Linked DNA regions of Medicago truncatula. The protein of the gene in region 1 interacts with the protein of each later gene in a pairwise test. Links are inferred from orthologs where the notes say so. Each region holds a gene or a part of one and is shown on either strand. Other genes may lie near its edges.

Region 1 (10,569 bases):
GGAACTTATTGGATTTTTAACTGTCACACGTTTTGATGGTAAAGAGGCTTAATCTTCTGTAACATGAATAAGTTAAGCGTGTTCAAGAGTTCTAGCTGTGACAATTTCATAAGAACCATGCAAAGTAATAGTCATGTTATTTAGTCTATGTTTTAGTTATTAATTTTGATAATTTATTATTGTCAGAAGGGATGTTGCTATTAGAGTTGTGGGATGGAATGATGGATACTGGATAGAGTTATAGGCACGTTTAAGAGACTAATTAAGTTTTTAAAGAATTACAGCATGATACAAATAATTATCATGATTGTTTGGACTTGAGTGTGATTATGATGTTCCTAAGCCGAAGTCTTTACTAACTAGATTTTTACGAGTATGCCATCTTTAAAACCTGATTTAGTAAAAATACAACTTGACATTTTGTTGTTAGTCAAAAGTTAGACCAAAGAAGATCCACTTTTGGTTGTTTTGTTATAGTTAATTGCAAGTCATTCATTTCGCGATTATGCAAATTTTACTATTCTCTTCTGTCTTCTAATATATTTCGGTTCTGCAGATGGAAAGCAACAGATGAGTCCATTTGCTAATTCAAAGACTGCTACATATTTAGCCTGGCAAAACATGCACAACAAGTACTGTCACTATGCTTTCTGTTGATTTCAATGTCCATTTTACATCCAAAGTCCTTGCAACCAAGAGTATCAATCCAGGTTATTTCACATCTATTGCCACATTTTTTGTGCTGAATTTTTTTAACTATTGCAGGTGTAGAAGATTTCATTACATTTTAAACAAGATTTTTTTACTTGTGCTCTTTCACTTCTGTCAATCAATCCGTGGGATTCATATGCGATTAAATCCATGTCTCTAGAACATTCTAATTGCCCAGCCAGTGCTGTTCAAGCCTTAACTCATGCAATGAGTCGGCGCATGTCTCCTGCTTCATCAGAATCATGGTGTAGACGAGTAGTGGTCATGGTCAACATGTCAATTCCAGCATGTGGATCTCATGCCGAAAGAGATATGAAAATTCCAGCAGTGAGACTTTGATATAGCGTACGCCATAGCTCAAAATCATCTTTATCGCAAATGTTGCCTAATTTCTGAATTTTGTCAGCATGAGGCGAAAACATTAACCAATCCATCTCTTTCCCTCTCACTTTCTCTTTACTCTCTCTATTTCTGTAAGTGCTTTAAGATGTTTATTAGGTACCTTTCTTTGATCCAACAACCATGACTTCCTCTGATAATTTTATTTCACTGTTGTAAATAAATTTCAAATGGATTGTTCAATTGGACCAGTTACTAAATCATTTAATTAAACCCAACAAGAATGACAATGTGCTCTCATTATAGTTGACACCAAAGCAGAAACCATGCATGGAAACACCAAGATAATCTCAAGAAAACTGTAAAGACTAAATCAACAAACGGTTTATTAAAGAACTAATAAAACAACAAAGCCACAAAGCCTTTGATAACAATGTGAATTAACTACAAATTCAAAGTTTCACTTCAACGGAGAAAGAAGCGCAGCACAAAGCCACAAACTAAACAACAATGCGAGTTAACTACAAATTCAGAGTTTCACTTTAGTACATGAACAACAGTGTAACTGTAAACTTATTAACTACAAATTTCATAGAGATTCACTTCAGCAGAGAAAGAACTAAACCGCAATCTTCATCATCATCGAAGCATCGCACTCACAGGCCATGGTGATCTTCAATCTCAACCATTGGCTTGACCTGAGGCATGGGAGACACACCTGCTGTAGTAGTGACACCAGCAGCACAACCACCACGTCCATCAAGAGCAGAGCAGGTTTCTTCCGTCGCCTGACCTGGAGAATCTAATAAAGTTGATGCTCCGGCTCCAACACCTGCTCCTTCCGACGCTCCTTCACCTCCTAATATAGTATCATAAGCAGCCGCAATAGGATTGATATGCGGAAAAGGCAAATACACACTGTGCACAACTATCTTCACATTGCGGATGACGTCAGCAACCTTAACTCTCACATAGTTAATCCTCATCGGCGCTGATGTCACTCCTCCGCCGGAAGTAGTGATCAGAAGCGGCTGACCTCGCTCCAATGTAGGCAGAGCAGTTCCAACTGGAAGCTTCTCAAGATCGGCGATCGACAAGTAATAATTCGGTATGATATGGAATCGCACATTGCTGATGTACGATTGAGAACCGGAGAATATAGAAAGATCATCAACGGCGAAAATAGTCATGTTGTTGAGAGTTATGAGCTCTGCGTATTTTACCTTCATCGCAAGGGAGAGGATGCTGAAACCGTTATTACGGAGCCTGAGCATTGCATCTCGTAGCATGAGGCGCATTATAGCAGGGAGCACGGTGACGCCGTGAGTGTGAACGTGAGCACTGGAACGGTGATCAGGATGAAACGGAAAGGAGAGTGAAGTCATTCTCTCAACGTCACAAGAAAACGGAGAAAGTGTAGAGACGAAACCTTGAAGGCCGTGAACAACAACCATTCCGTTGTTGAATAGATCCGGTTGAGCAATCTCAACGCCTCCGATGAAAACTTTTGGAGCACCGCCGGTAGTAATGTTCGAATGAATCGAATCGGAAGTGACGGTTATGCAACGGCCTGGACTGAGCGTCTCGATCTTGGTGCCAAAAGGAAGCGTACGCAAATACTCGATAGTGAATAAACCTGGAACGATGTGTTCACGGAGGAGATTCGGAACAGAGCAAGAAAAGCAAGTGCGAAGCGAAGCATCGGAGGGAGCGAAAATGGTAGAAGGACCGGTCCAAGCAGAGGAAGCGGTGGTTGCGGCATCGGAGAGCGACGGAGCGGCGGTTGCAAGCTCGTGAAATCCGAGATGAGACAAGATCGGTGGAAGTAATGTGGTGTGAGAGAAGAACGAATGTTCTTGAAGATCATGTGGAGGTAGCGGTGGGATTGAAGGTTCGAAACCTTCAGTGGCGGTGACCTTGTCACCGGAAAGCATGACGGTGAAGAAGATTGCGAAGAGCATCGAGAATCGAAGAGAAGAAAAGGTTGAAGAGCTTTCCATGGTTGTTTGAGAAAAAGTAGAAGAAGCAGTGATTGAAGATTTGATTTCAATTCTGAGAGAGGGAAAATGAATGGAACGAGGATGAAATGCAGAGTGAAGTACTTATATACGCGCGCGCGGGGGAGTGAAACTGTTAGAGAGATTTTGTAATCGTGTGAGTTTGTTACGCGGTTGTTAGAGGTTTAAAGTTTTCGAATTTTGGGATTTGTAAGCGTGCCAAGTATTTTTTTTATTTTTTTTTTAAATGGAAGTGGAAAAAATAGAAAATGAAAATTAGTGATTCATCTTTTAATCAATGTTTTTCATTTTTTGATAACTCTTCACATTATTGCAGATTTTTTGTTGCAACACATCTCATCATGAGAACAAGTTCGCCTCCCACATGAGGGGGCGGTTTAAGAAAAATTCAATGATTGAATTTGATTTATATAATGAAATTGATTTGACATTTAATTATTTGTCCATATAAATTTTGGGTCATGATAGTGCTAAATACTCTTGCGATGATCTTAGATTTTCGACAGTAAATAATAATTCATCTATTTCTACTTTTACTTGGAGGGTTATTGTTAGTGTTTAGAAGGATGTCTCTAGAAACATAACTAGGTATATTAAGAATGGTCATCGTGTTTGGTTTTGAAAATATGTTTGGATTTGAGATTATGGCCCTTTGCAAAATATCGCCTCCAATGGTTTTTCCGTTGTCCATATGGAGTTTTCTGTCTCTCATTATGTTTTTGATGGCCGATGGAACTGGGAATTGCTCAATCAACTTCTTCCTCAATAAATTTATGAGAAAATTACAGTTATCAAGCCTCCCTTTAATGAAAAATCTGTCTTTCTTTGAAGAAACCTTACCAGAGATGGAGATTTCTCTCTCAAATCACCGTATTCTATCATACATGGTAAACATCACTTCTTCTCAACAAACCTTAATATCTTTCATGGTAAAATTCTAACTAATGATGAAAGGTATCATATAAGTATGACTAGAGACAATCTTTGTATTATATATGGTGACTATCAAGAGACAATTATATATGTCTTAAGAGATTGCGTAGAAGCAAACATGTTGTGGAATGGTCTAGTTTCTCAATATGTTTGGAGCAATTTCTTTAGTCTTGGATTGTTTCAATGGCTCGACTAGAATATCAAAACTCTTAATATTGACACAATACATAACAATCGCCAAATGTTCTTTGGAGTTGACGTTTATGAGCTTTGGAAAGATAGAAATAGCCTAATGTTCAATGGGAAATCTTTGATTGGTAACCAAGTTCTATGTCAAATAACCAACTATGCTAATTTCACTATTTTCTCTATCAATTCTAAATTCTAATGTCTAATTTCATTCTCATCCATCGAGACACAATGTCAAGGTCTTTTGGTCATCTCTACCAGACGATCATTATAAGTTTAATATTGGTGAATATCATAAAAAGTCAACATGAATATCTAGTCGTGGAGGTTTGATTAGATATTGACATGGTAGGAATATACGTGGTTTCGACAACATAATTGTCACTTTATCTGCCTCGTGGGCATAACTTTTGGGGCCTTTAAATACACTGGAATAGATATGACGAGTCAATTGAATATTAGAAACACCATTTTTGAAATGGATTCTATGATCATGGTTAATATGGTTACTTCAGGTTCATCTCAAAATTCTCTTCTCCATGAGGTGATCTCTCTTATCCACCGTCCTATATGGAGAACTTCAGTTTGTCAAGTGCATTGCGAGGCTAAACAATGTGTTGATCTGTTGACAAATCTCATACATTCTTCATTGTATTTTAATTATATTTATGTTTGCAATGTTTTTCGTTCGACTTTGAAACTTCTACCAGAAGATGATGTAAGATGTAATAGTTTGTCTCATTTAATTTCGTAATTTTTTTTTCTTATAAAAAAACCATCTCCATAAAATTCTATGTGAAATGATATTAATTGTGTGCGCAAATAAGTTTTAGATCAGTAGCGTGTAACTTTTTTTTTTTGAAGAAAACAATTCTTTTAAAAAAATTAACTTAATTGATAGTGACAATATATTGCAATAGAAAGGGACATGGTTGTCCCCGTGAGCATAACTCAGTTGGCAGGGACAATGCATTATTATATGCAGGGGCCGGGGTTCGAACCCCAGACACCCCACTTATTCACTTTAAAAGTGAATTTCTAGGCACTAGGCTACCTGACCAAAAAAAAAAAAAAAAGGGACATGGTTTAAATCGCATATACCCTACTTATTTACATTCAAATTTCTAAAAAAAAAATACAATTCTTTAAAAAATATTAGTTAAAATAAAATAAACTCATGTTAAAAAAAATGATGAAAAGAAGTGAATAACAAAATAGGATAATTATTTTTCGGCTTAATACATCAGTTGATCCCTTAACTTATTTTCGTTTTTCATTTTGGTTCCCTAACTATTAAACGTCTCAATTTGGACCTCTATATATTACGCTGTTACCTATTTTAATCATCTCCGTTAATTTTTTAATGTCTAATAATGTTGATATGACTTCAACCATCCGATTGCAGATCCATTGTATATAATAGTGAACTACCAACATCTGATTTTTTTTTTCCTTTTCTTCTTCTTCTTCTCCTTCCCTCTTACTCCTCTTGATCTTCGTCATCTTAATTATTAAGTTCATATAAACCCAAAAAAATTGAACAAACAAAAACATAAAAAATAAGAATTGATTGATTCTTCGTTATTCACTAAAATCTCAATTTTAGTTAGATCCCATTAATAATAATAAAATAAAAAAACTAAAAATAAAACACAGCAATCCATAGATTCACTTCTTCGTGATTCATTTCTTCTACCATTAAATTAATCTTCTCCAATTTGAGACATATATTCATTTCTTTCTTCCACAGTTTATACAACATCACTTCTTCCTAATATAAACGGTGAAATTAAAGGCTCGCTACCTCCTTTCTTGTGCGATGAGATTTATAGGGATTTTATAGATTTAACTGTTGGTTATTTTTGTTTTCTTTATACGGAATGGGATTGCGTTTGAAGCTGAGTTATTGAAATTATTTTTATACAAAACCCAGATGCAGAAGAACTAAAATCACAAACCCATAGGCAATACAACAACACTTACTCTCTTTCTCTCATTTTCATTATGATTTCATTTTGATGTGAATGAATTGAATCCGAATGCAGAAGAACTGAATCAGAATTTGACAGTTTTGATGTGAATGATTTGGTTTTGTTTCTCTAAGAAGGGTTGTTGTTGTTTGTTTTCTGGGTTTGATTCTGAATTTGAAGGGTTGTTGTTTGTTTTCTGTGTTTGATTTTGACGATGATATTATGTGTTGTGGTTGTTATTTTTTTCTGGGTTATATTAAGATTGACCAAGAAAGTATGAATGTGATGAAGGAAGAAGAAGTAGAAATAAGAAAAAAATTATGTGTTGATGGTTCACCGTAAGATACAACAGACCTATATAATCTAACGGTTCTCTTTTTAAAAAAATATTAAAGGGTTTAAATTAAATGAATTTATAAAGTCTATGATGGACCACCTTTAATATGATTCAGCTTAAACTAAAAACTAATGGAGATGATCAAAATAATAAACTGCATAAGATTTATAGGATCAAATTGAGACGTTTAATTGTTACGAGACTAAAATGAAAAAAGAAAATAAGTTAAGGAAAATGATATATTAAGCCTTATTTTTCTTTTATCTATCCGCGTGTGAGCAACGGCAAGTTAAGAAGCGAATATCTTTCACAAAAGGGTTTACACGAGAAATTGAAGAACAGCAGAAAGGGCAAACCTCACAAGAGAGAAATAGAAATGGGTGTGACAAAGGAACAAGTCGAATCATCTTTGAACTCCAAACTCAACCCTTCCCATCTTGTAAGTTTCTCTTTTCCAGTTTCGTTCCTTTCCTTTGATTTACGCTCGTTTCACTAATAAACATGGCTTAATTTCAACACACCATTTTTATTTTATTTTGTATATATTATTATTTTCCATCCTTAGCCCTAATTATTATATTGGAATGTGCAATTCCTTTGTCATGCTTCATGCCTCTTAGCATTGGAGATCCAAAAAAATCCCTAATTGTTCCCAAATGTATCGAAACTTCAAAAACATTATTTAGTGTGTTTCGGTTAGTAGTTTCATGGACAGCCTAATTAACGAAAAATACATTCAATGACCAAACTAACGAGGACCGAATTGACTAGCGAAAGACACTTTTAGGAAAGTTGTTGTAATTTTATTCAATATTCATGCAAGTTCAAGGACCCTAATAGTTGTTAGCTATGGCTATCTGGAGTCTATATTACAATTTTGGAATTTCTTTTGATCAAGAGACTGTAAAATTAGTGTCTGACTCTTGAAGTTTTCACACTGCTCTGGTCTGATTATTAACATGATCAGTATTTTTACCTGAGTTTAATGGTTACACACTGGCAGCCCACAATTTTACACTGACATCCAATGAGAGACCACCATTTTTCCACATCACACAATCAGCTTCAAAATACATGTACATTGAAAATGCACATCCTCTGATTCCTCTTTACTTTTGACTCGACATTACATGCAGTGTAGAGTATCCTTAGTGAAATATGTTAAAAATGGAACTTCATCCTATGAAAGGGAAAATGATCAACCTTCAATTTATCAGTTTTACAGTTTATATGAGTTCATGAGTTATGAGGAACAAACTATACTACTGCACCAACTTGAAAATGTGAACCTTCCATTTGTATTTGACAATGACCTTCTCCTTTTCCTTTTGAATTTCTTATGTTTGTTTTTGTTTCAGGAAGTAACTGATATATCTGGCGGGTAAGTTTTGTTTTCCATCCAACACATTTTTTATCAGCTTTTTTCTACCACCGTATACTTGTCGCTTATATCTTACAATCTTATAATTCCATGTTGGTATTATTAGGTGTGGTTCAAGTTTTGCAGTTGAGATTGTTTCAGAACAATTTGAAGGAAAAAGGCTATTGGAAAGGCATCGAATGGTGAATGCTGCCTTAGAGGAGGAAATGAAAGAGATTCATGCACTCTCTGTAAAGAAAGCTGTAACTCCAGAGCAGTGGAAAAAACAGCAAGAGTCCAACCAATCAAATCCTGCGGCCTAGAGCATATAATATTTATAAATAAAAAACCCTTACAATATATTGCTGGCAGTATTTGTGGATCATAGTTCTATGTATTATTTGCTGCCACTCAAATTTTATGTTGCACTGCTAAATTTTAGTTGACAAAGTCCCTGACTTTCAGTAGGGTAATTTTATGATGATTGTTCTTTTTATACTTTCTTGGGTATTGCTTACTAGAATACATGTAAGCATGCTCAATAGAGATGAAAGTTGGAAGAAATGAAGGCAAAGTAAAAAGCTAAGAATGCATGACTTATGAAGGTTTCTTGCATGTCTGAATCCGAATGGATCAATCAATTTCTATTTTTCCTAAATTTTAATTCTTTCCAAGTTCATTCTTCATGTGGACTTAACTTGTTGACTTGAATATGTGGGTGTCCTTTTCATTTTTCTTCTGAGGGTTTTGTTTTCAGTCTGAATTTTTAACCTTGCTAGTTCATTTGGATGGCGTTATTGATGAGTATTATGTTTCAACCTTTAGGTGATTTTCGCTATGTCCTGATATATCATGACAGTGAGTTGGTAAACTGAAGGCATTGTGGTTTTGCTGAACCTTCAAAGTGTATATTAGCTAAAGTTACGGTAGCACACCGTGATTTTGTCAAATTTACCAGAGGTCCAAATATGCACACATCTTTTACACTGACAATTGTGTCCTTTTCTCACCACACACAAGATTCAATGGTGCCTTAAAAATCTACTGTTTTCTTCACATCTGAACTAAGAAGCTTTATAGTCCTCCTCGTCACTTGTGAAAACAATTGATTCATAAATCTTATGACCGTGTCATTACTTTTGTACGCTGAATAGAAGGAATGGTTGAAACCACTTCAAGTGCCGTCAACTATTTTTATTGTACTCAATTTGTGCATACTATAGGAACATTTGGCTTTTGAGGTCAATAAGTAAGAGACCAACACGTACAGTGTCTATCTCATGGACCTCATATATTCTATGAATTTTAACCACATGTCTCGATAAGACCTATCCAAAAACCTTGATTAGAAAAAATCAAATAAAGACAACAAATATGTACACAGTTCCACTGTCATCAAAATTTTGAGTCACCCTTTTATCAGAAAACTTGAAAGAACAACGTGCGAGGTGTCACCACCATGATCCTCTACCCTGTTTCATTATTCTGTATTTAAGCTTGAATGTTATTATGATAACTAAGCTAGTGCATCCATCAATGAATGATTCTCCTCTGGTTTGTAGAACCATGAACATCATGAAACTTCAAAGATTTGGACCGGTTAGTAATCGTTCATGGATAAAGACTTCAAGATTTGGTGAGAAGCCATTATGGTTTAGACCCATTACTATCATTAAAGTTGCAGAACAATCTTCTGGCTATGGCTTAGTTGAAGATGAAGCACTTGGACAGAAGAAAAGAGAGCTTTACCAGGCTCTGGAAGGTAGCATCTTCAATTATTCTTATTATTTGTTATTCTGAGCTATTGTTAACACTAGTTAACAAAGTGGAAAGAGTAATTTGTTTGAAATGGGTAAACAAATGTGTTTGAAGGAATCAACAGAGGGATATTTGGAATTCCATCCGGCAAGAAGTTAGAAATTGAAACTTTGGTGAAGCAGCTAGAATCTCAAAATCCAACTCCAGAACCAACACTAGAACTAGAGAAGGTAACTTCATGTCAAGGTTTTAAAATCGACACGGTACAGTCATGCCGCGATTCTTGATATTATGGAGAGTTCGAGTTAAATGTGGTTGATGTGGTGTCATAAGAGGCTGTGTTATGGCCGCAAAGACATAAAAAAGTTGATGTCGAGGCCTAAATCACATTTTTTTAAACTATATTAATTGTCATACACAAACTTTCATAATCATGTTATGTTTCTATTACTGGAAGGTGGATGGGTGTTGGAGGCTTGTTTATAGCACTATCTCAATTTTGGGATCAAGAAGGACAAAGTTAGGCCTAAGAGACTTTATCGCATTGGGTGATTTCTTTCAGATTATTGATAAAACCAAGGTACAAATACAATGCACTTCTCAATTTTATATGATATATGACCCTTTTTCTTTTGACTTTTGATTTACTGATTTTATTTGATAATGATAACATTAAACTTCAGAAGGCACAAAACTAAGCATAGTTTCCAATCATAAATTTCGTATTTTTGTGTCAAAATTACTTAATCCGTCTTTGCTCTTAAAATCTAAAATACTAAGCTTGAAATTTAGATCGTTTGATTTTGATCGGACAATCTAGATGCGGCTAATTGCACGTAGTCACGAGTTTGTGAATCCATAAAACCAAAAGATCCCAAATTAGACCCGATAAAACTACTGCAGAAAGTGAACTACATGTCAATTATGCCTACATTGTTAACGTTTGAGTCTTTT
Region 2 (11,114 bases), on another chromosome or scaffold:
ACAACATGGAATGATATTGTAATGTTTCAAAGTATGATGTTTTTGTTTTATTAACCTCTCACTAATTAATAACTTCAACAGGGGTTTAAGAAAATATCATCTAAAAGATGGGAATTCCAACATGAGAAATTTCAAAAGGGTTGCAGGCACATGTTGGTTGAAATCAGTAGGAAAAAGTGTGAGCCAAGCGTGTTTCCTCAATACCTCAAGTCTTGTTCAGAGGAAAATGCAATGACTAATAATTCATCAGTTGAAGAAGACAATAACAATCATGAACTACTCATGGAGGAGAACAAGAACCTAAAGAAGGAGAGATTAGAGTTGCAAATGCAAATAGCTGAATGCAAGGCACTTGAAATGAAGTTGTTGGAGTGTCTCTCTCAGTATATGGATAACCGCCAAAATAAAGTTAGGAGACTATGTTAATTCATATTACTATTTATCATATCACATCAAGTTATTAAAATAGAGAAGTAAAATGTACATGTTTGTCATCATTGAATAATAATAAAAATGCACGTATGTTTTACCTTTCTTGGTTTGGTCAAAATCTGAATAGGGATAAATATTGGTAAGATTCATGATTGATTATCATAATTTAAACAACATTGACCATCAACAACAACCTTTCTAAGCTTCTTAAAAAAAAAAAAAAAAAACCTTTTTAAAAGAGGTCAATGTGTAGTTTAATCGAGTTTGAATTTTGTTGTCAATGTGAGAACCTCGATGATTGATAATATATAAATATTTATTATTGCTCTATCAAAACCTTGAAGCTTTTCCTGACCCTAGTAAGCTTCTGAGACACAAATTGCCTGAACTTTTCGTTTATTAAAAACAACCTATCTAAATTTTTGAAAGGGTAAATACAATTTCACTAAAAAAAATAAATAAATTGTAGAGCTATTTAACAAATTGTTCAAAGCTTTGAGAATAAATGCACGATCACAATTACGCTTTGAAATTTCAGCACAAGAAAATCAGAGCATCTGTTTGAAAAATGAAATGAGGTTTTGTAATCTACATGGAAGATGGGGTTCCAAAGGCTACATTTTGTAATCTGATAATAGAATTAGCACGGTTCTTACACTATATTTGGAATTCACGTTCAGTATTTCATATTTACCACAAAGTCAGGAATCTAGCATTTCAATTTCCCCCCAGGTTGACAAACTATGGTACTCAACTCATGAATCAGTTTAGCCAGCTATATAGAGAAGCAGAAGGGGAAAACAAGTTCAGACTTTTAATAAAATAAAATAGCCTCATATCAAACAATATATAGAGTAACCACGCAGAACATTACAATGTCAAAAACAAAGCCTCATGGCACCAAAATTAACAACACCCTCAGCTATAGTGGCTTATAAGATACAATCCCAATTATTCTAAGAATTAACAATAATCCTACTCAGATAAAGTTGACTTCAGCTCTCCATTATTTCGCAGCTCCATAATGATATCGCAACCGCCTATCAGCTCACCTTTGTAGTAAAGCTGAGGAAAAGTAGGCCAGTTTGAGAATACCTTAATTCCCTGTCTTACCTCATCATCACTCAATATATCAAAGTGACCAAAATCCACCACACCCTCCTCTCGGAGGGCATTTACAACTCTGGAACTAAAACCACATCTTGGAGCATCAGGGGTACCCTTCATGAAGAGCATCACAGGGGAAGAGGCAATCAATTTCTTCAAACGATCTTCAATGGTCTCTTTTGGAAGAACCCCTTTCTCATGTAAAGTTTTCTGAAGTTCCCCACTTTTTTGCATCTCCAACACAATGTCTGATCCACCAATAAGCTCCCCCTTGATATATAGTTGAGGATAACTGGACCAGTTTGAATAAACCTTGAGTCCTTGACGGACTTCTTCATCAGTAAGAATGTCAAAACTCTCAAACGGAACATTTTCTTGTCGGAGAATTTCAACTACCTTCCTGCTGAAACCACACTTAGGTTCATCTGGTTTTCCCTTCATAAACAGCATAACTGAGCCTGAATTGACCAAGCCATCCAGCCGAGAGGCTAAATTTGTACTCAAATCCGTAGATTTAGAGATGCCACCCTTGGTGTTTCCTGAATCTGTTATATTTGTTTCATCAACGGTATCAATTCCGTGATCTTTGAAAACATCCTTTAACTCCCCACTCTCATGCATAGCAATTGCTATGTCACACCCACCAACAAGTTCTCCTTTGCAGTAAAGCTGAGGAAATGTGGGCCAATTGGAAAACTTCTTCAAGCCCTCACGAACCTCTGAATCCGAGAGGATATCAAAACTTCCAAACTTAACCTTCTCTTCCTTCAAAATATCAACAACTTTTCTGCTAAATCCACATTTTGGCTCTTCAGGACTCCCTTTCATGAAAAGCAGGACAGGATGAGAGTCAACGAGCTCCTGCAATCGCTTTTTCAGATGACTACTAAGCCCTGGTTGAACTTTACTTTTTTCGTTTGAAGATAAATTGTCTTGCGCTAATTCTTTCACTGTTTCAAGAACGGCGGATCCTGCGGCCATCCCAAGACTAGCAGGAGAAGCGGCATCTCCAGAGTTAATTGAGCCTGCTACTTTTGAAACCTTGTTGGCTAAACTTGATGGATCAGCTCCCTCCAATGTGTCAACGGTCTTGCCATCCTGACAGATAATAACTACTAATCAACTGATAAATCAAACAAAGATAACAAATTGAGTTTTCAATCCCATATTCACAGTATGAATATCACCAGAGCATTATGATTGCAATATAAAAAAAGATAACTCTTTTGGGTACATGGCGAAATTTGTATTGTAAATAAATAATAATATCAAAACCAAGTCTTAATTAAAAATCTGCAAAAGCAAAGATAAATAATAGTATCAAAACCAAGTCTTAATTAAAAATCTGCAAAAGCAAAGATACACAACAAATAGCTCTGATAAGTTAGAAATTCAATTTCATCTAATGTTAACATGCAATTGTTCGTCACTGAAGGGTTACACTCTTGGTACGGTAACCAAGACAGAAAGTCAGTGTGGATAAATTTCCCAGCGAATACTTGTGGACTAATAAATATTAAAAACAATATACGGAAACTATAAGACTTTTCAAACAATAGCTTTTATATAAGTTCAAAATATAAGTATTATTTGTAGGTGAGGAGGCATGTTCAAGGTGACAGTCCTCCCCCTAATCACATGTAATTTAACCAACAAAAACAAAACACCAACCAGACACAGCACAAACAAATCTATATTCCATTGTTTAATTGGATTATCACTACAACAGAACCATAGTCATCGACTCATTGACGGTATAACATTAAAATGAACCTAATAAGCAGAGTTGGCAAGAAAATATGAAATGAACATGAGAAGAAAGCAAAGTACTGCATTTTCCTGACCAAGAAGCCAGGGAGGCCTCAGAACCACAACCACTGAAATATTGAAATAAACTTGTTTAAATTGGATTATTTTAGCTTATCTAGTAACATAAGCACATGTGAGCCTATCTGGGAGAGCTTACGGAAACGGTTTATGACATGTCCATAAACTAAGGGCACTTTAAGAAGCTAAAAATGGAAATAAGTGATAAATTCAAGGTAAAAAAAGTCAATTTCTAGAGTTTAGAGGTATTAAATGCACTATTTCCAAGATAAAGTTTCTTTTTTGGACTTCTTATCAAGTGCCCTTGTTAGCATTTCCCTTTTTTATTTTCTTTATTGAAAACTCAATATTGGCCCATGGACTTGGTGTCCATAAGCTATCTTTAGCTTACTTTCATAAGCTCTTTAGGATAGTGTATGAAAACAACTTATAGCTTATACGACATCAGTTTGACAGTATTTAACCCTGTCATAAAAGATATCTGGCCCATGGACTTGGTGTCCATAAGCTATTTTTAGCTTACTTTCATAAGCTCTTTAGGATAGTGTATGAAAACAACTTATAGCTTATACGACATCAGTTTGACAGTATTTAACCCTGTCATAAAATTAGCTTATACATAAACACATATATCATAAGCGCAATTAAATTGTATTAGCTTATACATAAACACATATATCATAAGCGCAATTAAGTTGTTTATTCAAATAGGGTCTAATCCACTCTGCCACAAAACAGCAACAGCAAGAACAACAACAGCATATAGTGCAACTTAAACAAAGCCGAAAAACCAATTACCTAACAATGAACAAAGTTTTGGCCAAAAACAATACTATAGAATTCTCAGATAAAAAAGAGTTTTCAAATTGCAGTTACTTTACCTTGAAGAAGACAAAAAAAGGAACAGCAGAGACAGAATAAGCCTCAGATATCTCTGGTTGTTCTTCAGCTTCAACCTAAAAAAAGTAAAAAATTGATTTTGATTGATAAATATAAAGCAAGAAGATGAAAAATAAAAAGGGATAATTGGGAAAGAAAACCGAACCCTTAAGAAATGGGTATGAGGGAAATCAATGGCCAAATGAGAGAAGAGTTGGTCCATGTGTTTGGAAGCTTCACACCATGACGCCCAGAAGTGAAGCACCGCCGGAGAACCGCCGCGAACCACCTCATCCAACTCCGACTTTGACTTCACGTCTCGCACCGAACCACCCATTCTCTCTCTCGATGATGATGTTGATCGATCACTTTTACAAACCCTAATTCTCTTTATATAAGTAAAAGGCTTAAATATGTTTATCCTTCCAATTGAGCTCGTTTAAAAATTGGTCATGTATTGCTAATCATTACAAACTGGTCTTGCAATCATTAATCATTTAAAATTTTGTCTTTGACCAACTTAATCACTGTCACGTCACTAATTCGAAGACGTGGCAAACACTACCACACATTAAATTCCAATTTTACCCTTAAGAAGCGGACAAAATATTGAAGAAAGAATTGAAAATCCAGGGGTAAAATTGGAATTTCATGTATGGCAGTGATTGCCACGTCATCAAATTAATGACATGGCAGTGATTAAGTGGGGAGAGATACGAAATTTTAAATGATTAAACAATGCAAGGGTAAATTGTTAGAATTAACGATTACAAGGATTAATTTTTAAACGACCCCTAATTGCAATGATAAAATACATATTTAAGCCTAACCAAAATAAAAGCTTTAACCTTTAATTTTTCCTCTAAAAAAAATTATTATTTTTTCCAAAGCTATATATGCATATTCAATATTTTTTGAGGCAATATATTTTTTTAGTAAAGATTATTTTTTTTTTTTTGAGGGATAGTAAAGAATCTTACGTCCACAAATTCTAAGCTAATATGGCAAAAATAAATATAAAAAATGTTAGGTCAAGCATTGTGATTGGGGTTTAAATTCCGACTTCTCCATTTATGTTTGTTTATAATAGTTATTGTCATTTTGTATTGAGAGTATAATTATGTCGGTATAGATACTACATTATAAATTGATGCAGTGGTTGAAGTTTGAACCCTTAAACTCTCCACTTATGCATTTTATAATGAAATTTTAGTCATTAAGTTACTGAAGAAAAAAAAAGATTATGAAAAAAAGTTAAAAAAATTCTTGAATTTTTTTTAAAACATTAAACTATACTTGATACAAAATTTATAAGATTATCTTTTTATATTTGAATTCTTAACTGAAGAAACTCGTGTGATAACAGTCAGTCATTCGTTATTTTTAGTCTTTATATGATATTTTTGAGTTCACAAGCAAGATTAAGCAACAAGAAAAACTGAAGAAGGGGATCGTGTCACGATTACTGAAAAACGTGTCATGATTTGGAGCTTTCAAAAATGCATTCAACGATGGCAAAAACGTGTCACGATGGCAAAAACGTGACACGATTAAGGAAACCCTAATTTGGGTGGTTTGTTACACAAGATGAAACGTGTCACGATTTACTTAAATTGTGCCACGATTTTAGGAGCAGTTCTTGCCTATTTAAGCTGAAGACTATTCTGAAAACAATGGTTACGGTTTGGAGAGAGCAAAGTGCGATTTTGAGACTACAAGACGGTTAGAAGGGCGATTTATTCACTCTTTTACTAGTTCATGTATGTATTGATCCCTCTAATGATTATGTTATTTGTAAACACCATTATGAGTAGCTAAATTCATTAGAGGTTATGTCTGAGATGATTCTTTGTAACCCTGATTGAAACATGTTGATGTGAAACTCTATTTATTGTGAATGATAATCTAGTTTTTATTCAATTCAATTGTTCTTAATGCTTTTTATATCCTGATTAAATATAAACATGATTTAGTAAGAACGAATGACTACTGACCCTAGCTTTCGAATTAGACCTAATTGAATTGTTCTAATAAACATCGTTAGTCTAGGAATGGATAATCCTTTATTAGTGATATTAGGTTAACGTGCTTAAACCTTGAACGGTTATTAGACCACCTAAGGAATTAGGGGCTGTAACCCTAGAAGAGGGTCCTAACTCAAGGGATTGATTATGACTATTTTGTTAACTATCGTGGAACGGACTATTTTGTTAACTAACGTGGAACTAGTGAATCATTCATAAGAATAGGTGTAGTATACCAATTAGGGGAATATAGATGATTCGAAAGACCTAAACTCATCTCTCTCTTAATCTTAAAACCAATCTTTATTTTCTGTCATTACTTTTATGCAAACAAACCAATCAACTGCCTAGGGCAAACAAAATAATTTATACATCCTAAATATTCACTTTATTGCTAAATTGAGATTAACACAGTCCTCGTGGATACGAATTTATTTTATTACTTGGATACATTTTTAGTACACTTGCTAAAATATCTATCAAGTTTTTGGCGCCGCTGCCGGGAACTGTTGAGTCATTTCAATTTGGCAATTTTGTTTTTATTTAAGATTTCTGTCATTTATATTTTTAGAGTCAATCTTTTTATATTTGAATTCTTAACATGTGCATAAGGATACATTTTTTTATCGGAGAAAAGACATGTGTCTTTCTATCCGTTTTTCTGTTGCGTTTAGTTGTATATAGATCAAAAACTTATGTAAAAAAAAAAAATAGTGTCAATGAGAAATATCATTTCCCAACATTCTCCCTTATGCCTATATAAGGAGAGCCCCCTTACAATTTAAAGTAAGTTTATTCCATCGTTCAAACCTTTCAACCTCTTTGTTTCCCATTGACTTAGGCATCAGGGCGCTTGTGCAAGTACAACGCCCTCTGTCTCATCGACAATGTGGCATTTCCATTGATTCTGCAAGATCTTCGAGAACGAAGCACGTTCTTCCACATATCCGTGGTCAATGTGAGATTCTTTATCTTCCTGAAGATAATCTTGTTACTTAACATAATAGCTTTTAAATAGTTTAAATGAAAGATAAAGTTAAAATGAAAATGTCAACTCACAATCATGTATCTTATTTATATATAAGTAATTGTAGATAAAATTGGATATTCATTTTAAACTAATTTTAGGTTAGAGAGAGGGAGTGATAGAGATGGAGATAAAAAGAGAGGAAATCTAACAAAGGAATAAAAAAAAAGAAAATATAGTTTATTCTGAATAGGATCAAACATTTTTTTTTTTTATGGGCATTCAATCAAATTAAGATGATGTATAAAAATTAAAATTAAAATTAAAATGTTAAGGAGTGTTTTTAAAACATTGGTTAAGTAGATGAAAATAGAAATATTGTATTGGAAAATGGTGAAAAGTGATGAATTTGACTTTTTAAAAGTTAAAACATATTTTTTTATCGAAATTAACGATTTCATTATGTCACAAAGATGAATTTTTTACAAGGTTTTATTTATTTATTTATTTATTTTTGTTAGGTAGTACAGTGACTAGAATTCACTTTTTTTTAAGGTGAATAAGTGGGGTATCCGGGATTCGAACCCGAAGGTTTTATTTATTTTCCATCCCAACTATCAGGATTTCTCCAAAAAGGAAAAATTACAAACACACATGAAACGAAAAACACAGGACAATGTTTTTCTGTTACAATAATTTTTATTTATTTATGAACAAAGGATATCTGTATTTACAATGCAGCCAGTAACTAATTACTAGCAAAGAATATTTAAAAAATAAAGGTAGAAAGAGATTGATTAGTTCATGCTTCAAATTTCACTAAACACCTTAGCTATCCTCTCAGTATGCACCAAAGGCAGGTACGCTTAGGCCTTACGTTCCTTCTCTACGGCACCAATAACCGCTGCATTGTACTTCTCCTTGCAATACACGGCCTTTGGCGCAACTGCATTGTCCACTCGATGGAACATCGGAGACTGTTTCACCTTCTGCCATGCCGAAGCCACAGTCTGCTCTGCCACGGGCTCGCACTTGGAGTAAAGCCTCACCGCTGTTTCCGAGACAGTGGCTACGTTGGCAACGGGAGCCCTGTGTCCGGTGCAGTGGTGGTTTTGATTGGTACCGGTGTGGCGGAGGATCTCATCGGGAACAAGGTGGAACTTATCATGGACAGGCCCCACCACGCTCTTGACAGTTTCTTCAACGGTCTTGATGCCCGGCTTGAGCTCATTGGAGCACTCCTTGGCGTATCCGTAGACGGCGTTGAACCTCATGAGGAATTATTAGTTGTTCTTCCTTGTTCTTTTCACCCTGCAAAAAAGAGAAGAAAAGAAAGTAATTGAAATAATAAAGGAGATCAAAGAAATTGAATGGGTATATATATGAGGAAAGAGGAGAACAAACGTACCGGAGGTGATTGTGAATGAGAGAATCTGATGTATCATATTTTTAGAAGAGTAATAGTGGGAATCTGATTTGGGTTATTAATAGGAAGGGTGAAGCTAATGAGTAGGCAAAAACAACGGCCCTATTCTCTGTTATGATCTCTCTCTAAGCTAAAAGTTTGGCAAATGCGTAAAAAATGTTCCATAAAAAGTATCAACAAAACAAAGGACAAATGAAACGCAAACTACAATTTAGAGTAAAATTCAAAAAATTAAAACTGCTAAATTTAACAAACTTTCATGTAATTATACCACCAAATGTGTTTACGTATGTATATACATCCAAAATTAGTCACTTGGTTGGTCCTGTAAAGAATAAGCAAGCAGAAAAACACCCTCGCCAAAAGCAGGTCCAAGCTGCTGTTGCCTTATTGAAATTGGGGACGAGGGTTCTCTCACTTAACACGTGCAATGGTACAGCCATAATTCATTGGACTTTCTGGTTCAAAATGAGTGACACGAGGATGCTTTTGCAGAATAGCAAGCGCACGATCTTTAACAGCCCCAGTCCCCATCCCATGTATTACAAAGAGAACCGAATATGGCTGACTTGCGTTGATTGCCATCTCAAGATGGATTGCAGCTTCTTCCAGTCGCATACCTCGTAGATCCACAGTATTCTTAGATGTTTGCACCACTGGACCATAATAACTATCATCATTGCCGCCGTTCATCTCTAAGTTACCCCGGGATTTTCCATTCAGTGGTTTCTACAATAGTAAATCAACAGTGTACAAACTCAGCAGTTTGATATAGATCAATAACTGTCATCCTTCAATTCATTAGCGTACAGAAAATTCTACAATAACATTGTCTATGCGGACAAAAAAAATGTCAACAGAAATAATGCCAGGGTCTGAAATTAGTTTCTAAGTTATAAGCAAAATGCGCAAACATTCAAAGACAAAACAGATGGGCAGGTGCGAATTTTTTGTCTAAATCAAATTAGGTTAAGAAGCCTATTTTAAAAAGGAGACAGATTAATTTTATAGAAAATTCAATTCAACGTGCTTATATTATAGGATGATCCGAGGTTCCAATTTCCAAACATGATGTTTGGAACCTGGTATTTATTACAGAAAAACAGGAGAAAGCTACCCAAATTACATGATAGAACAATGAGGATCTACAACTCCACATGCCCCAATTCTTACTAAAATAACAAATACTCTCCCTCTCAACCCCTCTAGCTATTTACATTCCCCCTCCGCTATTGGATATATACAAAAAAAATCTAAGTTTGGGGCTCCAAAATATATCAATTCTAAATTAATTTTACCATAGCTTCAAAAAAATGCCAGATTAAATATAAAATACTTTTCAAGTAATTTGGATTTCATTTTCCAATAACTTCTTTTATTTATATGAAACAAGTTTCCACGAAGAATATTTTAGATAATACAATTATATTTTTTATTACACAAAAAAGTTAAATGTGATTTTATTATAGTATTCTCAACTACCGCGTACTACTTTTTTTTCTTCTTATATTTGAAGCTAGAGGGAGTAACCTTCCTCTCTAACTGTCTTATCCCAATCGTTCCCAACTCACTCAATAAGATTACTGCTTGCAAAATAACTTTCTTAATGGAAAAGTATACCACTCAGTTTTCTTCATTGACAGGTTAACTATATCGATTGATTAGATTATTTATATGACAGCAAAGATTTCTTTCTACATACCTGCCTTCCCTGATGAGTGGCAGAACTAGTTACAGGATTCTTTGCACTTGGTGGAATAGCTCTGATGCGATTTTTCTTCACACGTACTTTCACTTTACCATACTGTACCAAGATTGTTTCATCATCCCCAAGCAATTCTACCACTGTGGCTAATTTTCCTCCCAATCCCTTCACACGGACTTGCTCTCCAAATTGTGGAGTATAGGATGTAGTGCGATCGGCGTCATTGATGGGAAAACCAACAGCAGGAGTATGAGCTTTTACAATGGAGGCAATCGCAGTTTCAGATTCTTTAATTATTGAATTAAGTTGGTTGCGTCCCAAATCTTTTAGTTGCTTTTCGAATTTCTGTATTACAATTTCCATTTGAGATTTTGCATCCTCTAACTCTTGTTGGACCTGTTGAGCTTCCTTTGCCATAAGCATCGTTTCACGTCTATCAAGGTCTTCTGCCTCCCCTTGGATCTTTGCAAAAGAAGAAAAAGAAAAAAGTGAGAGAGACAGAGAGAGGGCCAATAAAGTGCAAAGCATTGAGCAACAGCAAATATGATGACATCCGATTACAGACTGCAGGCAAATGCTCTACAATTCTTACGCTGAACCATTTTTCCCACAAATGACGGCATTATGAAAATTTTGGATGGAAGAGGCACTACATATTTAAATTAACAGCTGTTGGCTATCCCCAAGGATTGGACATCTATTAATGAGGCACAGCATGATGTGTTGGTCAAAAGAAGTTCACAACGT
Region 3 (10,889 bases), on another chromosome or scaffold:
ACACGTTAAAGATTATGTTCATACATATGACATTACTGTTTACAATAAAATGGATATCAGGGCCCTCCCCTTAATCTTCCTAATTTCAGTCTCTAATGGCAAGTATATTGCAGCTATCCAGACCTTTATCACCAGGTCACCTGGGTTAAGCTTTATATACTAAATAAACAACAGCCACTGTGCTCCCTTTTGTGCAAGGGGACAAGATGAATCCAAATCCAAAAAACACGCCTAAATTGTCAGTTGATAAACAACAAAGTGTTCAAATACATACTCATCTATATTCTGTACCTCATGTCCAAATTTGAGCGGTGCATAGCTTCCTGCATACTTTCTGACATATCCATGGGATCATCAACTGCGATGATGTCTGAATTGTTGAGATGATAGTTTTCTCCATCTTTTACACTCCCTAGATAGTTGGCATCAGCATTAGCGAAGAAATTCCCCAATTCTGAAGATCTCCCCCCACCCTAGGAAAAATTACAATTTAAATTTTGATTACATAAATTAAAAACACACACATAAAACGAATTATCTTTCTCCTAGACAGAAAAATGCAACTATGATTATACTGGTGGGACATCCTTTAGGGACTGAACGCATTTCCATAAGATCAACATCACTGTATCAACAAAAGGATGTATACAAAACCCAGTATAACAGGAAAGAATTTCCCTGATCTTTAAGAACTTCAATCACAAAAATATAGATTGGAAATAAACATTCAAGTCCCACCATGTTCTGAATTCAAATGTAATCTACATTTTTCAAATTGTTGTCTATTCTTCAACCACAAAATTCAACACACGGGGTGTTAAATCTTATTTCATATAAGATAAAGCATACCTTACTAGCACCAGCACTTCTCGAATCACCAGTGTCCTGCTCTGGGCTATCTCCCTTGAAGTAACCAGATCTTGTTGTTAAATTCTCTGAGGAACTTGGTGATGAATCTATATGAATAATGGAGCTTTTATTTACAGGAGACAGAGGTATGGGTCTTGACATGCTATTCTGCTTTCCATCAGATGACTGGAAAGCAATTACTTGAATTTTTCCTATCTGAATACAGTTCAAAGCTATTTGTTGTTAAACTTGATGAGAATAAATACTGCAAGACATCTAACAATTATCATGTGTTTCAGACCAACCTTGTTTGCATCTTCGTTGTAACAAGAAAAAATCAACCCAATAAACCCAGAATCAAGAAGTTGATACATTGCCTGAGTCCGCACATCTACAAAATAGTAAAGATGCTGATTAAATGATTATACTGTTGCTTTGGATAAAACCAAAAAGGAAAAAAGACAAGTCATTTAAAAAAAATCTTTGTTGCAATCCTATCCAATGCGATAACAAGCATGCTGTTAAATGTATGCAAACAGATCACAAACTTTTGAGGAAGGAGAGATGTCATTAGAAGTTTAGAATACGTATATGAATAGTGAGTACTGTTAAATTAAATCTAAAGCCTGCTAGAAAGCCTTTCAACCTAATTCATAGAACTCTCTAGCTAATTTATTGTTCAAACACAATCAAAACTTATATGCTATTGTAAACCCATACATTTTCTATGTCTTACATCAGAAAATGTTATATCCTACCTTAAATACCAAAAGTGGAGTATAAATAGCAGATATAGGAAAATGATAGTTGTACATGCCATGTACGGCATGTGCTCAAGTTGAACCATTCAGAAAGGTTACACTAGAACGCAGGGTATTATTCAGTGATTTGTGGAGAAGTGTCTGAGGTGCATGTGAATAAGTAACTGCATGTAACTATTAAGCATCATACTATCAGTAACAGACATCGATATTTTGTCTGTTTCAATGAAACAATACAGGCAATAGAGAAAAATGTGCAGTCTTCTTATAATTTCTCATGGAAAATAACATTTGCATCAGCCAAATGATGGGAAACCCTCTTTGTCTGGGAGTTAGTTAGAGAGTATGAGATAATAGACTATAAATAATAGGTAGGACGTGCTCGACAGATTTACTTTGGTTTTGGATAGGGTTTTAGAGTGGGAGATAACCTGGATGCTTGAATACATTGAATGTAATGGAATTTGCTATCGATAAAAACTATTTTCATCTAGTATCTATCATTGATCCTCTACAGCAACATATTTGATTCATATGCTCAGTCACACATACTAACCTTCAATTGATGTTGAAGTTGGAACACAACTCAAAGTGCAAAATTTAGAATATCACCATACATAAAAATACTGTTGACTTCAACATCTAGGAACTGTATAACATAAAGGATGATAGAAGCGCACTCCTTTCTCAAATCTAGGCTAGCAATATTCTCTCTGAGAAAAAAAATACTATATAACATCTTCGATTTCATAAATGCAACACATTAGGATTCAGTTCTCCAATCCAAGCACAAACAACTAAAACAATGATACATTCAGTGATAAGCAGAAGATAATATCGAAACAATGGGAAACGGTTTACCCGAAAGTACATACCGACATGTGAAGGCAGGACAGTAATATGAGGATGTGAATGGTACCAGCCTATCACCCTCGTTGTTCTTCCAGTTGTAACAGTCATTTTGTGCTATGAAGTTAAAGACACAATCAAAGCAACAATTGTAGTCCTTAAATCACTAAGAACAGCAAATTATCAAAATTGGACAGCATTGTCAAGCTAAACCAATGCATTAAACACATGGGCCTGTTTGGATTGGCTTATTTCAGTTTACCTACCGGCTTAAGCAGTTGTGAGAACGTTTATGAAATGTTCATAAGTTGTTTTCAGCTTATTTTCATATGCTCTCAAAGATAGCTTATGAAAATAGATTATCATCTATAAATTTCAAATTAAGACTATATTTTATCTTTTGTAATAAAAATAGCTTATACATAAGCACTTATCATCTATAAATTGCAAATCAAGTTGTTTATCCAAACAGGGCCTAAGTGATATGCTCTGCAGCACGACATTTCTAAGTGAAATATGTGCGGCGTCCAACACGTGTCTAACACCGCAGGTGTGATTACATTCAATCATGTCATTTTTCTCAAATTACTACTTGTGTCAACATGCCAGTGTCGTGCCCCCGTGTCTCTGCTTCATAGGTGACATGTGAGGTCAAAATAAACAGTATTGAATTTAAAAATGAGTTTTTTAGATCTATCTTAAATGCAATAACACACAACAAGAGAAAGGATATATCAGCAAGAGCTGAAGCAGCAGCCAACTGTTCAGGGTTAGTTTCAACACGATCTTTTCGTCTATCAGACCTTGTTTGAGGAGATGCACCCCATATCAATGCAGTCACACTCCCATTTTTCGAATGCTGAAAAATCAACAATTTCACAAATTCAATTTAACATTGTGAGACACAAATTGGGGAAAAATCAAAATAAAAATCAAAAATTTGAAAAAATAATCAAGAAGAATTTGGGGATTATTATACTATACCTGGATATCGCCAAGAAGAAGACCCATAATCTCTTCGGTTTCAGTGGAGAATGCATGAGTTGCGCATGTTAACCAAACTTCTTCGGACATTTTCACGCTTGTTAGAGACATTTTCGCCAAAAATTGGTTCAAAATCAAAAACCCTAAAAACCCTATGATGATAATAATCTCATTCTCTTCGATTACGTTCTTTTTCTTTGATGTTTCCCTCTCTCTCTCTCTCTCTCACCTCCTTCTTCAACCTCAACTGTCTAGTCAATAGAACAACGTAATTACTGTTAATCTCTTTCTATCTAGCTATTAATCTTTACCCTAATCTGACTAATTAAACATATCCAGTTAAAATTTAACTCTTGGCGTGTAAATTTTCACCAACAAAAAAATATTCGCTCCGGTCCATGTTATAAGAAAAAAAAAACTAAAACATAATAGTTTGTAACATAGTTTATTTGTGTTATTTTTAAAATAAATTTTATATGAAGATGTAAAAACAATTTTCATTGATAGTTGATTATAGAGAAAATGAAAAAGATAGCAAATTGAATGCACTTTGCATTTAATTTTCCTTTAGAAAAGATAATTTTTTTCAAAAAACATAATTAAATAATAAAAGTTGCTCTTTTTCCTTATAATTTGGGACAAAGAAAATGAGTTTATTTTTTATTTATAATTTAGGACGGAGGGAGTATATTTTTAACTATGTAGATAATGAGATTTGAACCTGACACTCCTCTCATTTATGTTAAGAGATAAATTTATAGTCCTTAAACTACTTGACTAACAAAACACATTAAGAGATAAATTTAAAATCATTAAACTATTTGATAAAAAAAATCGATGGTTTTGCCATGTAAATAAATATATATTTTTTAGACAAAAATAAATGATATTTATTGATTCAAATTGATAGAATACATTGATACATTGCAAATTCGCTAAAAACAAAAGGGATGAATCTGCGAACAAACTCATAGCATCCATGTTAATAGCTTAAAACGGCAAAGTACAAAAGTCCACACATATGACTATATTCAAGTCTCCGGAATACCAATGTCTCTGAATCTGCAACGTGAACGACCAAAGTCATTAGATTTGCCCCTAGATCAAATCTGATGTGTGACAATCTAAATCGAACAAATATCTGAACGAAACAAATAAGACAAACAACGCCGTACGAAGACGACGAACAAACAAACGTCGCACTAAGATGACAAAATTAAAAAAAAAAAAAATAGATGTGAAAATCACTTATTTCGATAAAAGAGAAAGATAAAAACGAGTTAGATAAGTGATTTTGGGTCAAAAATTGACTCTAAGTCACCCATCTTTGATGGATGAAAGAGAAAAAATTAAAGTTTTGGTGACGGCTCACAATTGGTAACGGCTCACAAGAGAGAAAAGGAAAAAGAGAGAGAATTTTATTTTATGTAAATAAATATCCATTTAGTTTTCATTATATATATATACCTTTAGTTTATAGAAAATAAATAAATAAATATTCTCTTTTACTTGTTTGGAAAAAACATTTTCTTTTACTTCAATCTTCGTCAAAAAATTTGTATTTGGTGTTGTTTAGCCACGATATCTTAAAGTGACTCATTTATACCTTTTTGTTTTAATAGTGTAAATTTAAAGAAATTATATTTGATCTCACGGTTCACCTCACATATTAACTCAAAAAAATTGGTTAATTAGAGTTATTGCTCGGGGAAAGGTATACAATTTTGATAGTTTGGATAATTTTGGATGGAACATTAAGGAGTTCCTTGATAGTAAGTGTTCGACTGATATGGTACATATAAGATAATGATTATTATATCCTACCTTATTGAGAGCTTTCAATTGCAATGCACTATTCAACAAAGAGAAAATCATGTTCATCTCTATCATCAAATCAACTTACCACTTAAGTTCTAGGAAAAATCTTGGTTTCAAAGATTTACAGAGATGATCTTATGAGCTAGTTAGAAATAAGAAGGGGAGTTCTCAATCACCTCGTTCTTAAACATATGCTACAATGTAACGAGACAAAAAGAAAAAGAAGAAAAAGGGAGAGTCGAAATTAAGTTTCAAGCTTATCTCTCAGGATTAGAGATTTCATACCAGACGGAGGATAGTTCCAGCGAACAGAGCAACTTGCATGTGATCCTTCCTTAACCATAAAATCTGCACACATATTTTGTTCCCTAAGAACATGCACCAATGTTGTATTTTCATTTTCATGTAAAACATCTCTAATATGAAGGATGTTAGTAGCATAAGTGTGCAAGGTATGATCACGACCATCAATAATTGAGTCATCTGCTTCCAAACAATCACTCTCACAAATAATGTTGACATAGCCTTTTTTACTACAAAAATCAAGACATATCTGAATAACACATAACTCTGCTAATAACGTATCACATACAACTTCATAGTGAGAAAAACCAGCTACCTAATCTCCATCGTGGTTGCGAACAACGCCACCATCACCTAAACAATCAAAATCTTCTAGAAAGCTACCATCAATATCGAGTTTGAGTCTACCTTTCGGAGGGGTATCCAATGAGCAAAGAGACGCGATAAGTGTTGATCCAAACCAATATTGAGATAGTAAAAAATACATTCATCATAAAATAAAAATGTCTTTCGCACCACATCTTAAATGTGTCAATGTTAATCCTAAAAAGTAATATTGTTTCTCTAACAAACAAAAATAGAGGAAATACCTTTTATACCCTAAACCAGAAGAGAGAGATATAAACACCTTAGTTCGAAGTTGTCTGCGTTGTGAAACATTCCTCACATCAGAAGTGCTTCCATGGCAACCATTCTTTTCAAGGGAATCGCTGCTCGTTCTCTCACTACACGTGTAAGCTTTCCATTCCTAAAATCAAACCCTAATTTTCTTCTTCTTTTTTCTGCAACTTCGTTTCTTTTTTTACCTTTTACCTGTTTATAATCATAAAGTTCCATGCTTTTTCCATTTTTCGGTAATGGGTATCCTTTGTTTTCTTCATTTTCCTCTTATAATTTCTCACCTTGCAATTTTTATTTATCAGATTGAAATGGGTCGTTCAATAATTCTAGTTTGAATTTGAATCCTGAAATTGTTTTGCTATCGTATGAGATCAATAAGCTATTACTTTTCAAATCATGAAATCTTGAAAAGCCTTTTTAGACCCTGTTTGGATGAACGGGTTAATTTACAGCTTTTAGCATAAGCGCATATTATAAGTTATTTCCATAACAAAATATAAAATAAAGTTAAACTGTTTTTGTATAAGCTATAAATTGTTTTTATAAGCTATAATTATGTAAGTTTGATCATGGCTATAAGTGAGTTAAATGTAAAGTGATTTATGTTTGGATATGTTTATGTAAAAGTGAGTTGAACAATAAATTTGAGTGTTAAAATCAATTTTAGAATCAAAAGCTCCAAATTTTAGCTTCAAGTTAGAATCAATTCTTCTAGAGGCAAAATCAATTTTCCTGGAGGGCAACCAAACATGTCAAAATTAATTCAACACCTTTAGAATCAATTTTGGCTCCTCTAAAAAATGAAACCGAACATACATACATAAATTGCCACTCACATTTGGTTCCTCAAAAAGTAAATATTGCCACTGAATTTTAGCCCTTTTTCTTTTTAAATTTACTATTATCTCATTCATGTTCTACTAAGGCAATGGTTGGGTAAACAGCTTAATTTGCAGCTTATAGCATAGGCACTTATCATATATAAGCACTTAATGTAAGCTATTTCCGTAGCAAAAGATAAAATAAAGTCAAACTGTTTTTGTACAAGCCATAAGCTGTCTTCATAAGTTATCCTGGAGATCTTGTGGAAATAAGCTGAAAACAGGTTATGAACATGTCATAAGCTGTTTTCACATGTTCCCCCAGACAGTCTCAAGTGATTATGTCTGTAGATAAGCTCAAATCAGTCAATTCAAACAGGCCCTAAGATTAACTTTTGGAGTTTTGCATTGTCACTCTTTATGATTTTAACTATTTTAGTGTTATGATTTAAATGGCTAGAGTTTGTTTGTTCGTTAAAATGTGAATTGTGTTTTCTGTATGTAATGGTGTTGGTTTTCTTTTAACATGTTTGCAGCTAACTAGTTCCAGTTATTATGGAATGAGATACACAACTAAGGTGTCTAATGATACCGACACACACGATGACTTCAAACCAACTAATAAAGTTGAGAATTCTGGAACTTCTTTGTCAAGTATTATTGAGCAGGTGAATTTTATATCAGTTGAATCTGTACATGAGAATTCTATGAAGGGTTTATTGTTTTGATGGTATAAGTAATTTGTGACTTGTTAATAATGTACAGGATGTCAAGGATAATCCTGTTATGATTTACATGAAGGGTGTACCTGATTTCCCACAGTGTGGATTTAGTTCTCTTGCAGTTAAAGTTTTAAAACAATATGGTAAGTAAATGATAATTTTCATGCTTCATCCTTGCTACCTGAGAAATTATATCCTCTGAATCTGAACTAGTTTTTTCATGGTAGAGCTGTTACATTTTCATGTATTCTGAAATTTTGTGCTTATGTGATTTGAAAGTGTAGACTCAGAGTGGAGGAGATAGTGTTACTTACATTTCTACAAACATTATGGTGATTAATTTGTTGAATGTAGCTGATGGGTTTATTGACTAGATGGGGAGAATTAGAAATAACGACGTTAGATAGAGTTGGGGGTAACCCCTATAGTAGAAAAGATGGTAGAAACTAGACATAGGTGGTTTCGGCATGTAGAGAGAAGACTTGTGGATTCTGTAATAAGGAGTATAGATGAGATGGAGGGGAGTCAGATCACTAGAGGTAGGGGTAGACCTAGAAAAACTATATGAGAAACTATTAAGAAGGATCTAGAGATAAATGAGTTGGAGAAAAACATGGTTTTTGATAGAACACTATGGCGTTGTTTAATTCATGTAGCCGACCCCACTTAGTGGGATAAGGCTTGGTTGTTGTTGTTGTTCTTGTTGTTGTAGCTGATGTCATGGTAGCTACTGTGTTTCTGTAATTTCATGTTTTGGTTTAATTATGTTGAATGGATAAAAATGTCACCCTTGCCTTTTGATTTTATCCTCTTCAACGGAAAAGGAAACTAAAACAATTTTAAAGGGTTAGTACATAGGTGGCTGGCCTGCAATTTAATTATAATGATCTATATCATAACCTGCGCGAACTTATATAGGATGCGGCCTTTAAGTTTCAAATGTGTTCTTCCAATTGTTTAATTTACTTATAGCCTACAGAAATTTACTGTGAATATGACTTAGCTTTACTGGATGATGAATGGACGATTTTATATGTTGCAATTTTTCATATTTGTTGCTTTTGCAGATGTTCCTTTAAGTGCTAGGAACATTTTGCAGGATCCTGAAGTGAAAGATGCTGTAAAAGCCTTCAGGTAAGTTTGTTCATGCTGGTTATATTACTCTAGCTTCTTGTAATGCTCTTACAACTAGTATTAGTGATATGTGATATGAAACATAAAAATATTAATTTCCAACTGCATTGTTTAAATCCAAATATATTAATGAAAATCAGATTATTATGATTATAAATCTGAAAACTTGTAAGTAATCGTTGTGCTATGACTGCTGTCTAAACGTTGAAATCTTCCATTTACGAATATCAATTGTGTTAGAATTTTGATACCCTTTAATGGCTATGGAATTCAATGGACGAGTGTCATGTCAATAATCTGAAGATCATAAACATCAGTTTGAAGATCAAGTACTGTGTGAAGTTACAGTTTTATATTTGGACAGAAAACTTTTTACGGTTGATTTCAACATATCTAGTTGCGGGTTATTAATTTGTTATTTATTACTACCTCCGTCCCTAATGATAAGACCCTTTTGAGAAAATTTTTTGTCCCTTTTTATAAGACTCATTTGCTATTTCCAATTACATTAATTATTTCTTTACATACATGCCTTTATTTAGGCCAAATACCTCCCTAGGTCCTTTAAGTTTCACATTTGTTTCAGATAGGTCCTTTATGTTTCGAGTTTGTTTCGGATATGTCCTTTAAGTTTCTAAAGTTTCAGATAGGTCCTTTAAGTTTCGAGTTTGTTTCAAATAGGTCTTTTCTATCAAATCAACTTTGGCTTAACGGAGGTTGATAGAAAGGACCTATCTGAAACAAACTAGAAACTTAAAGACATATCTGAAACCTTAAAAACTTAAAGGACTTATCTGAAACCTTAGAAACTTAAAGGATCTATCTGAAAAAAACATGAAATTTAAAGGACCCGGGAAGGTATTTGGCCCTCTATTTATTATACATCTTTTTCTTCAATCAACAATATATAGTATCTTGAAAACATAAACTAACTCTCTTTCTTAAAAGATAAATTTGTAAAAACAATAGTGTTTACAAACAACTTTAATACAAATATACACTATCTTAATTCCCGTGATTTTGGCAAAAGGGTCTTATATATAGGGACGGAGGTAGTATATCCTTGTATGCTATTGATATATGTACATGCATATGACAACTTATATAAAATTATTTTGAATATCTTTTATTTTCTTTGCATTTAAAGTGGTATGGTTGTGTCACAGTGTTGTCTTATATTATTTGATTTTCAAATATGGTAGTACGAGAAGTGCTGGTGCTGCCAAATATAATTTACTTTTCCCTTTTAATAGCTTAATAATTTACATATTAGGCAAATATACATTTCTTATGTTTCTCCCATGTTCTTTCACTGCAGTCACTGGCCAACATTTCCACAAGTTTTCATTAAGGGAGAGTTTATTGGTGGATCAGATATTGTTCTTAGTATGCACCAGGTTAGTTCCCATTGCAAGAGTTGATCAATTTTTACAATATTTAGTGCTCTCCTGTTTAACAATATTTCACATCCTTGTAGAGTGGTGAGTTGAAGGAAAAGCTTAAAGATGTTGTGTCCAAGCAGTAAAAGCACAACTAAGGTGATGGGATTTAAAAGAGAGAGGTAGTTTAGACCGACTTGTTCGATGCAATCTGTTTCTTTTGCTGAAAGATGACACTATGTGATGTCTTTGTATTAGATTTTCTGGATAGTAATAAGTTAAGTTATTTGACGAATAAAAAATTGTTAGGTATAAGAATTTCATGTGTGCGCATACCTTGCTTTATTGTTTATTTGTTGTACCTGAAATGACAGTCAAGACCGAAATTTTATACACCTTGATTTAGAATAATGTGACTAGAGCACAGATATTGTATTAAAAATGCAGCACTGCAAAACAATACCCAATTCATGTCTGCCTCTCCCCTTTTGTCCATTACTCACATTCCCTTCATACCTGCCGCGTGCACAACTTACATAGCCAAGCCATGCCATGCAGGATCCACCCCAATGTCCTGTTGGAGCATCTCCAATGTTGGAACAACCAAATTCATGTTTTTAAGTTGCTTTCTGTGTGTCCGCAACTGCG

The links.
Region 2: the proteins of protein BOLA2 (region 1) and monothiol glutaredoxin-S17 interact in a two-hybrid assay, tested with the Arabidopsis thaliana proteins (2 studies listed by BioGRID). The link is inferred for Medicago truncatula from reciprocal best matches to the Arabidopsis thaliana genes AT5G09830 and GRXS17.
Region 3: the proteins of protein BOLA2 (region 1) and monothiol glutaredoxin-S15, mitochondrial interact in a two-hybrid assay, tested with the Arabidopsis thaliana proteins (2 studies listed by BioGRID). The link is inferred for Medicago truncatula from reciprocal best matches to the Arabidopsis thaliana genes AT5G09830 and GRX4.

What each region holds. Positions count from the first base shown.
Region 1 is NC_053049.1:42,947,031-42,957,599, reverse strand, and holds protein BOLA2, read left to right. Parts: upstream 1-6,767; 5' UTR 6,768-6,873; coding exon 6,874-6,936; intron 6,937-7,855; coding exon 7,856-7,878; intron 7,879-7,984; coding exon 7,985-8,180; 3' UTR 8,181-8,526; downstream 8,527-10,569. Other genes in the region: fibrillin protein 5 homolog, read left to right, coding at 9,367-9,619, 9,730-9,845, 10,073-10,195. UniProt on the Arabidopsis thaliana protein: May act either alone or in interaction with glutaredoxin as a redox-regulated transcriptional regulator, or as a factor regulating Fe-S cluster biogenesis. The GRXS17-BOLA2 heterodimer binds a labile, oxygen sensitive iron-sulfur cluster.
Region 2 is NC_053045.1:43,446,718-43,457,831, forward strand, and holds monothiol glutaredoxin-S17, read right to left. Parts: upstream 4,628-11,114; 5' UTR 4,583-4,627; coding exon 4,412-4,582; intron 4,323-4,411; coding exon 4,248-4,322; intron 2,638-4,247; coding exon 1,408-2,637; 3' UTR 1,227-1,407; downstream 1-1,226. Other genes in the region: heat stress transcription factor B-2a, read left to right, coding at 82-426; stress-related protein, read right to left, coding at 8,103-8,510; endonuclease MutS2, read right to left, coding at 9,077-9,391, 10,365-10,829. UniProt on the Arabidopsis thaliana protein: May only reduce GSH-thiol disulfides, but not protein disulfides. Participates probably to the maturation of iron-sulfur proteins and to the regulation of the redox state of the BOLA proteins.
Region 3 is NC_053043.1:50,695,401-50,706,289, reverse strand, and holds monothiol glutaredoxin-S15, mitochondrial, read left to right. Parts: upstream 1-6,151; 5' UTR 6,152-6,246; coding exon 6,247-6,297; intron 6,298-7,542; coding exon 7,543-7,674; intron 7,675-7,771; coding exon 7,772-7,871; intron 7,872-8,795; coding exon 8,796-8,862; intron 8,863-10,180; coding exon 10,181-10,259; intron 10,260-10,339; coding exon 10,340-10,387; 3' UTR 10,388-10,660; downstream 10,661-10,889. Other genes in the region: lys-63-specific deubiquitinase BRCC36, read right to left, coding at 292-473, 850-1,065, 1,155-1,240, 2,486-2,573, 3,193-3,318, 3,444-3,554.